2 linked regions of the Caenorhabditis elegans genome follow. The protein of the gene in region 2 interacts with the protein of the main gene of each other region in a pairwise test. Each region holds a gene or a part of one and is shown on either strand. Other genes may lie near its edges.

Region 1 (4,356 bases), on a different chromosome or scaffold from region 2:
GCCATCTAATGACTGTCCTTTTTTTTTTGGGCAAGAAAAATAATTTTTTGGAAATTATACAAACCTACTATATTCTGAAAAAGGGCAATTTTTTTGTCTTAGAAAATCAATTTTGAGTTCTCTAACTACAAAACTAACCATTTTATGGTAGTTTCAAATTTGTCAAATTCCGTACGGTTGAAAACCCCCCATAATGACTCATATTTTCCGGTTTTAATTGAAATAAATGTTGCTTTGTTTTCTTACAGCTCAAAAATTCCTATAAAAACCAAACGAAACCCCCAAAAACAATTAAATTTCAATGCTTCTCCCTATCAAAATTTTCCTAGTTGCTGGCTTCCTTGTCGATGGACAATCGACTCCTACAAAAAGCTATCGTAAGTTGAGGTTTGGATCTCGCGGCGAGTTTATTGATTTTTAATTGAAAAATCGATAATAAACAGCGCTTTTTCCCGATTACTGTAGTACTTCGCTGCGAGACCAACAACTTTTCAGCGGTACCGAACCCATTAAACGGTACATGTCAATATGATGGTCTGGCCATGGCGGATCCATACGATCCAATGATATTCTATCAATGTTGCAAATATATGTGGTTTTTTCAAACTTGCAACGACGGCATGGTTTTTGATAAAATTGCGAGTTTGTTTGATTGATAAAAATTTCAAACCCTTTCCGTTTCAGAAACTCGCCTGCGTTCCATCTTCTGGTTCTTCTCAAAAACTGGCAGTTAATCAGAAAGTTTTTTAATTGCTAATTAAAAATATACGTTAATTTAGCATGAAACATAGGACATAACAAGTAAAGAAAAAGGGAAAATTGAACAAAAGAAAAAAAACGGGAAAATACTTTTTAAAATAAGGCAGAAGAAATACAGAAATATATAAAACTTTGAGTGATCAAAATGGGCACTCGCTGAATCCTCGTAGTGATTTGAGGCAATAATCCGGCTGTTTCATGCAGATTGGTGAACTTCGGACTTCGGATTTCAGCTGAAAATAAGAAAATTTATCGAAAGCCTTTTTCTCTGGAAAATTGTGCTTACAACGTGCTCTTTCTGATACTGATCACGCATTTTCCGAACAGACGGTGGCCACGTCTTCGGGCAATAATTCAGAAAGCGTCCTTCGGTAATAATCATCACGACTCGCGGGGGTCCGGCGATAAGTGCTTCGAAATATGCAAACGTGCTGTTCTGATAGCACGGAACCACGAACGCCATCATGCTTCCCTTCGTCGCGTATTTTTCACCCGCCGACTCAATGATTCCGATTTGATTTGCACCGGCGAACACATTAACGTGACCCTCCAATCTTTGAGACTTCAGCCAGTAGCCGTTCGGTGTCTGGAAATAGATAAATAATTATAAATGCTGTTAAAATTTAATATTAAAATGATTAAGCACCTTCTTTGTAACGACTAAATCATCGAATCTGAGCACTCTCGCTGGCCATAAATTGCGCCCAATATTCGGATCCTTCTCTGATTCTTCGATGAGTGGCTGGAACGATGATATGGTCCATTGAATCGGGGAACCATCGGGAATCGAGCTGAAAATTTGGAACTATTATTCTTTTTACGCGTTTTTTTTAACTAACAAGTTAAATTCCGCCTTGACAGTAATATGGCACATTCGCAACGGCGCGAAAATCTGCATCTCGGTCAGCAGCAGCTTCCGTCGAATATTGGCTCGATCCGCGGCACTCAGATAGATCGGTCCGACCGCATCTGTCCAAACCATCGTCCTGTGCGTCTGATGATCGTCGTCCAACACAAAATCAATCCAATTCACTATCCCGAAAATCCGAAGCTCGACGCCTTTGTTGTAACGATATTTGGGACTGATTAGACCAGTTTGAGGAAGGGACGAGTGAATCGGAAGCACTTCGTACAGACCGTCTCCGATGATTTTGTACTTCACTAGCGGCGTTTTGTCGATCGAATCCGTCTGTTGAGGCGTGAGAATTATGCGTTGGATTCCGCCTCGATAGCTGTAGAGTAGGTGCTGAAATTTAAAAAATGAGATTGAAAATCAAAATTTTTTTCGTAATTCCTACTTGATAATTCGCCTTATCCGGCGTTTTCTCCTTATTAATCGCCAAAGCGATGTACCAATCGTGATCGCGGTACTCGACAAGCTCAGAGGCCTCGAACTTGTCATCCTCGCTTCCTATTCTTTCGATCACCGCCCAACACTCGTTCTCGACGTCTTTTTCGTCGTCCTCGAACACTTCTGAGCCATCTGCGGGGACATTCATGTAGAACCGTGGGCCCACGTCGAAGTGATCCGGAATTTTCCGGCTCGAACTGACGCGATGTTCCTTCGACTTGCTGGACACGGTTTTGATCTCCTGAACCGGTGGATGCTCTTTCTGGTTATTCTGGACCGGAACTTCTCTCAGAATTATCCGTGGGGGCTCGGGTGGCAACATCTCAAAATTGGTTATTAGATTTTACGGCGAAATTTTGAAAAATACCTGTTTTGATTGAGGTCCCCAGTGTGACGCTATAATAACTGTCATATTTCAGCGCTACAAGTAATAAAATATTCAAAAAAAAGTCGCAAAAAGACTTGAGAAAAAAATAACTCGAAATTCGAAAATTAAACTCCTAAAATTAAAGGCGCAGGCGTTTCCCAGTTTGGGTCTCGATGCGACATTGTCGTGTACTCCACGGGGACTTCGTTTACCATGAGTGTTTTTTGAAAAACGACAATGCATTGCTTTTTTGTGGAAAACACGAAAAACGTGAAATTTTAAACATAAAAATTTAATATTTTCCAGTCTTTGTACATATTCAGCATTTTCAACTGATGGCGCGCGGTTCCAAGTGAAGCCTGCGATTTTTTTTCGAATGTTTTTTCATATTTGGATGAGATGAACAAAAATCGCTTCGATAAAAATTAATTTATATTAATCTTGACAAGAAAAGGATGGGATAAATTAGAGAAAATAAGAAAACTGGATCAAATTTCAGTTTCTTTAGGGTCCGGCAACGCGTGCATCGATTCCACGTGCTTTTTCGAGATCATCGCTTGCCCTAGAAATCGGACTCCTTTCAATTGTGGATCTTTGTCCCATCGCTCGTCTGCCTGGAAATTAAAAGAAATTGCTGAAAGACAGAGAAGCACTGGGATTTTAATATTATACGATTTTTGGTAACAAACCCTAATTCCAACCATTTCAGCGTTGGAAACCTGAAAAAAACTTGATTTTTCATGATTTTCAGACAAAATCCTGCCTTTTCTGAAATATTTATTCGTGAGATAGAAAATTGTGTAGTGCCGCGCAGAAAACGGGGTGGGCGTTGTTTTGCAAACCTGCGGCGCGTCGGCTCTAGTGTACTACTCGTGGAGAACTTTTTGGTTACAATACACGATTTTTTGTTATTTTCGCTTATTTTTCCGTGTTTGACATTCGAATTGGTTAAAACTTGTCATTTGAATCCAGAAAAGAAAAACACGAAATTCATCGTTTTTAACCGCAAACCTTATAAATAATCGATCGTTCAAAAGTTAAATACTGAAAAAAAAACAACGAAAATGAAATAAAATCAAGCATTTTTTTCAAAAAAGTTTCGATTTTACTTGTTTCTTTCTCTTTCTTTTCGAATGAAAATGATATCCAATTTAATTCTAATAAGATTAAGACTCTTAATTTGAGAGGATATTCCATGTTTTTATATGCAATTTAGCATATGTGAATTATTTAGAATGAATACCATTTTTATACAAAAAAGAGAAAAAACAAGTACAATCGAAACTTTCTTGAAAAAAAAAGTTGTGGAAAAACCATGCGGCAGTGTTGCGATGTTCCGCTCCGCCCCACTCTCTGTGTAACTCAGATGTTTGCACAATTCACGGATCGATCATTTTTGCAGTAGCCTGGTAGCCGAGAAAATTGCGAAAACTAAGCCAGCAATAGAAAAAGGCGGAATGTTGTTTTGCCTGCGGCGCATAATTTTAAGGAAAAATATTTGAAACTATGAGCTTTTGGACCAAATTTTCATCAAATTTTTACCTTGTTGAAAACCATATTAGCGTCCTTGTCAGTGGCGATCATCGTGCCACGTATGTACCGCCCGTCGGTCATTCGAATTTCATAGCGTTTGCCAATGTATTCCAGCACTTTCAGATGGGCTTCCGACTTTTTCGCGTTCTCGTGTCCCTTCAACTGAATCAAATCGGTACTTTGATCGTCGCACATGCTAGCTGTCAATCGTCTTGTTCTTTTCATTTTAGAGGGGGGGGGGGGGGTCTGGAAAATCAAATAGACATGGATGACGCCACCAATAATGAAAATTTCAAAAACATTAAGAAAAAAGTATTTTTTCAGTCCGTAAAAATTTAGACATATG
Region 2 (3,764 bases):
ACTTCAAATTGCATTGTCAATAGCATTGAATTCAGGTTAAACTTTCAACTATCTTTTTTTAAGATCAACGCCGCATCTTGGCCTATTCCAACGAGAGTTACAAAAACAAGACGTCGTAATGTACTTACTCGATCTCATTTTTCGAATTTCTCTAATATAAAAAAACAAATTATGTAGATGGATCATTAAAACAATTGGAATAGACAAGACGTAGACATAACCGCAGATAAAGGATGTTGATACGACTGAAGAAGATGTGATGGCGCCAGTAAGGCACATCTGAGGGCTTGAAGCCAAGATTCAGGTAATCTTTGGCCGCAGACATTCGTTTGTTTTATCACGAATTAATATCTTGTTTTCAATGGTATTTGTTAAGTTCCTCCATTTTTCATTCCTTGATTTATTCTTTGACCCGTCTAAAAAATAACCTGTTTTGACGTGCCAAGTTCACTTGTCAATCAAAGTAGAAAAATGGGCATTTGTTCGGAGAAAAAAGTATCTGAGAGTATGGAATTCGAAATGAGAAACCACCAATTGAATCCTAATAGGTTTGGAATGTACAACATTTGCCAAATTAGAATTTGGAAACATTTCGACTTCTGATTTTTGATTTTTCAATTTTTTTTTGTTGAGAAGACAACAGCTTCAATATCTACTGCAATTGATTCATGGATCAAATTCAAATGTATCAAAGTATTTATTTACAAACCAGTGTTTTTTGGGCAAAAGCGAGCATGTGGGATTATATACAAGAGACCGGCAAAATTGGCAATCGAACCCGTAGTCGATTGTTTAAGAAAATGGTAGGTACAATTACAGAAGCAGAAGCAAGTTGAAGAATGAATGTACAGATGAAAAATGATAGAAGTGAAGAGCATCAAACAATCAACTGATTTAGTTGAATGTAGAGGTTGGAATGTTTGATTTGTAACCGAATGTCTTCTTCATCTCCTGTACAAAAGAGTTGGCACAATCACAGCAAACGGAGCAGAGCATTCCCATTGGATATCCCTTATTATCAGTACATCCATTCATTGCCACAAAGATTTGATTGCAGGCTTTGTTATCCAAAGTAGCAGACAAAGCAGAGTAAGAGCCGTCGTTTGGAATTGGTCCAGTGCATCCGAGCATTTGGCAGGATGGTTGAGTAACTTTCTCGAAATCAGAACCCTCGAGATAAGTGGCAGCTGGATTGGTGATTGGTCCAGCAACGGCAGCTCCACCGGTAGATTCTCCGAAGTAATCCTCATCGGTATCCTCATCGGAAGTTTGAGTCGAGGCAGATGCTGTTTCTGGATTTTCAGTAACAAAAGATCCAGTGAATTCGGGTACAACTCCATCTGGTTGCTCAAATTCATCCTTTACTTTCTTTTGTCCTGGAAGTTTCTCGGATTTCTTTGGAGTCATTGGAACAACTCCGTCGACATTTCCATTTCCATCGGCAAAATGCCCATCTCCCATGGCACCGAGGAACAGGTCAAGATCGAAGGAGTCTAGAAAAAACAATGATAATAAAAGAGCTCAAATAATTTCGAGTTTAAAACTAACCATCTGGTTTTTCAGTAGTTGTTGTAGTTGGTTTTGATGCAGCGAAAGCTGTCAAGAGAACAGTAGCGAAGAATAGAGAGAAGTTCATGGTTTATTTCGAGCGGTTGTGTTTTCTAAAAATAGAAAAAGGAATGAACACTTGAAGTGAGGTACAATGTCTTCCTCGTCAGCCATTAAATATTGCCGCCCTGTAGTCGTTGATCAGAGGCGCGCGCACGCCGTCCTTCCCCAAGTGGATGGGCGGCGCTTGGAGAAGGATGGGCGGCGCCAAGGACAAAAATCTCGTGAATTATCATAAGATATGAGGTGTTTACATTCCTCTATCACTGTCTAGATAACAAATCCCTAATCAGCTGATTATATCTGATATGATAAGGATAACTTTTCGCAGTTTCTGGCGACGTTCTGTTCAGTTCGTGTCCATCACCGTTCGCGTGGCGCTGGTTTCCATTTTTTTTTTGTCGCGGGACAAAGTGTCGATGACGACGCTTATCATTTATCTTATCACTTATGGGCTAAAGATAGAGATGTATCTAACACGGGGATAAGAGATGGAGATCGCCTCGTGATATAGAATGACGCGCGGTAAAAGTCTCATGAAGATTAATGGGATTATAGAGGTTCGAAAAGGAACCGATCTCACTAGTGTGAACATGTTTCAAGCTGGACATGTTCATCTCTATCTAAGCAAACAATGTTGTACAATCGTTTTTGTATATTTTATGTTTTTATTTCTTACTTTATCTTCTGTTGAGTTTCTTAAATTCAAATGTTATTTAAGTATTTATACTAATCTAGGGATATTAAAGGGGATCTGCTTATATTTTCATTTTTCTAAGCTAAGTTTGGCGTATTCTTTGCCAGAAACTGGGTCCTCAAACTCGAATTTTCATGAGCCATATATTTTTTTACAGCTCAATTGAGAATTCACTTTTTAACTACAAGCGTTTCATAATGACAATTTGGGATTATCTGTAGATCTCGTTGTTATCCGTATAGAAAACAACTAAGTACACAAAAAATATTTTCAAATTTCACACCTAACACTTGTTTTTCACTTTAATCTAATTGAAAGTGTTTTCAACTTTTTTAATCTTAAGTGTCTTTTGCCTTCTTATCTCATTATGTTTTCTGATCCTTTCCATTCAACTTTACTCAACAATTTCAATCATTTCAAGGCCACAGGTAGGATATTTATTTATAGGATCATCAGGGATATCTATTTCTCTCTCTCTCTCATTTTAACAGTCTGATAGCGACAAGGAAGAAAAAAGAGAAATGGAATGTGTAGTTGTACTTCTATCATCTCATTTTCTTCATGTTTTCATCAGTTATCGTTGACGTGGCATTGGTCAGTTGAGGCGTGGTGTAGATCAGTCTCAATTGGTAGTTAAAATGAGATACCCGAGGGGGATCGATGTCAGTGACAGTTACCCAGATATGAATTGGATGATAGGAATGTCTGTGAAAAAAGGAATGATCGACGGCACGTTCCACAGCTAACAAGGCGTCCGTTTGTCGAAGCCACGTCATCAGGAATAAACGATTTTATCAATCATATTGGAGATGTTTTTGGGTTTTCAGATGATCTGGTCTTGTTGGGTTACGGTACAAAGGTTGATCTTATTGGCGAAGAAATCATGATTTTGACGATAATTGTTAGTAAGTCTGTACCCACCGTGCACCCGATAATAACATGGAAAACCTCGTTGTCTAGACATCGATACGAATAAGAAACTTTCTAGGTAGAGTTTTCTATCAATGAAAATTTATTTGAAAGTTGGGGTTACCCAGAAATTTCATCACTTTTTTTTATTATTTTGAGCGCTTGCGAAAACTCGAAAAAAAATTGTTGAATTATCAAAAATTGAATCCCCACAAAGATGGACCTGTACATTTTTGATAACTTGATAAAGAAAAGGTGTATTTATTTCCAATACGAATTTCACTGAAAACATTTCCGTTCATATTAATAATGTTGAGACTTGGGAGCTGTTGAAATCGGTAATTGTTGAAAAAAATGTATGCTTGTGGTATAATCCGTATTAAAATAATCAAGTATCCTGACGATGCTGCAGGTATGGAATCAAATTTTACTTTAGTTATGTTTTTCATCACAAGTCGTTTCATCTAAAGGATTTTAAGTGAGCATTTTAAGTCTAGCTTTCTAAACTGTTTCAGACACTATTCAACTTGCGTCCTTGATACCTAGAAAT

Evidence for each region.
Region 1: the proteins of F45D3.4 (region 2) and pid-2 interact in a two-hybrid assay, tested with the Caenorhabditis elegans proteins (one large-scale study listed by BioGRID).

The regions. Positions count from the first base shown.
Region 1 is NC_003279.8:91,258-95,613, reverse strand, and holds pid-2 (Protein pid-2), read right to left. Parts: upstream 2,593-4,356; 5' UTR 2,523-2,592; coding exon 2,478-2,522; intron 2,433-2,477; coding exon 2,058-2,432; intron 2,006-2,057; coding exon 1,599-2,005; intron 1,551-1,598; coding exon 1,406-1,550; intron 1,346-1,405; coding exon 1,046-1,345; intron 993-1,045; coding exon 900-992; 3' UTR 751-899; downstream 1-750. Other genes in the region: Y48G1C.13 (Chitin-binding type-2 domain-containing protein), read left to right, coding at 302-377, 496-638, 685-750; natc-3 (Sm domain-containing protein), read right to left, coding at 2,966-3,091, 4,020-4,205. UniProt on the Caenorhabditis elegans protein: Involved in gene silencing mediated by a class of 21 nucleotide PIWI-interacting RNAs (piRNAs) that possess a uracil residue at the 5'-end (also called 21U-RNAs) and that guide the Piwi protein prg-1 to its DNA targets for silencing.
Region 2 is NC_003283.11:12,551,531-12,555,294, forward strand, and holds F45D3.4 (uncharacterized protein), read right to left. Parts: upstream 1,662-3,764; 5' UTR 1,637-1,661; coding exon 1,549-1,636; intron 1,494-1,548; coding exon 895-1,493; 3' UTR 683-894; downstream 1-682.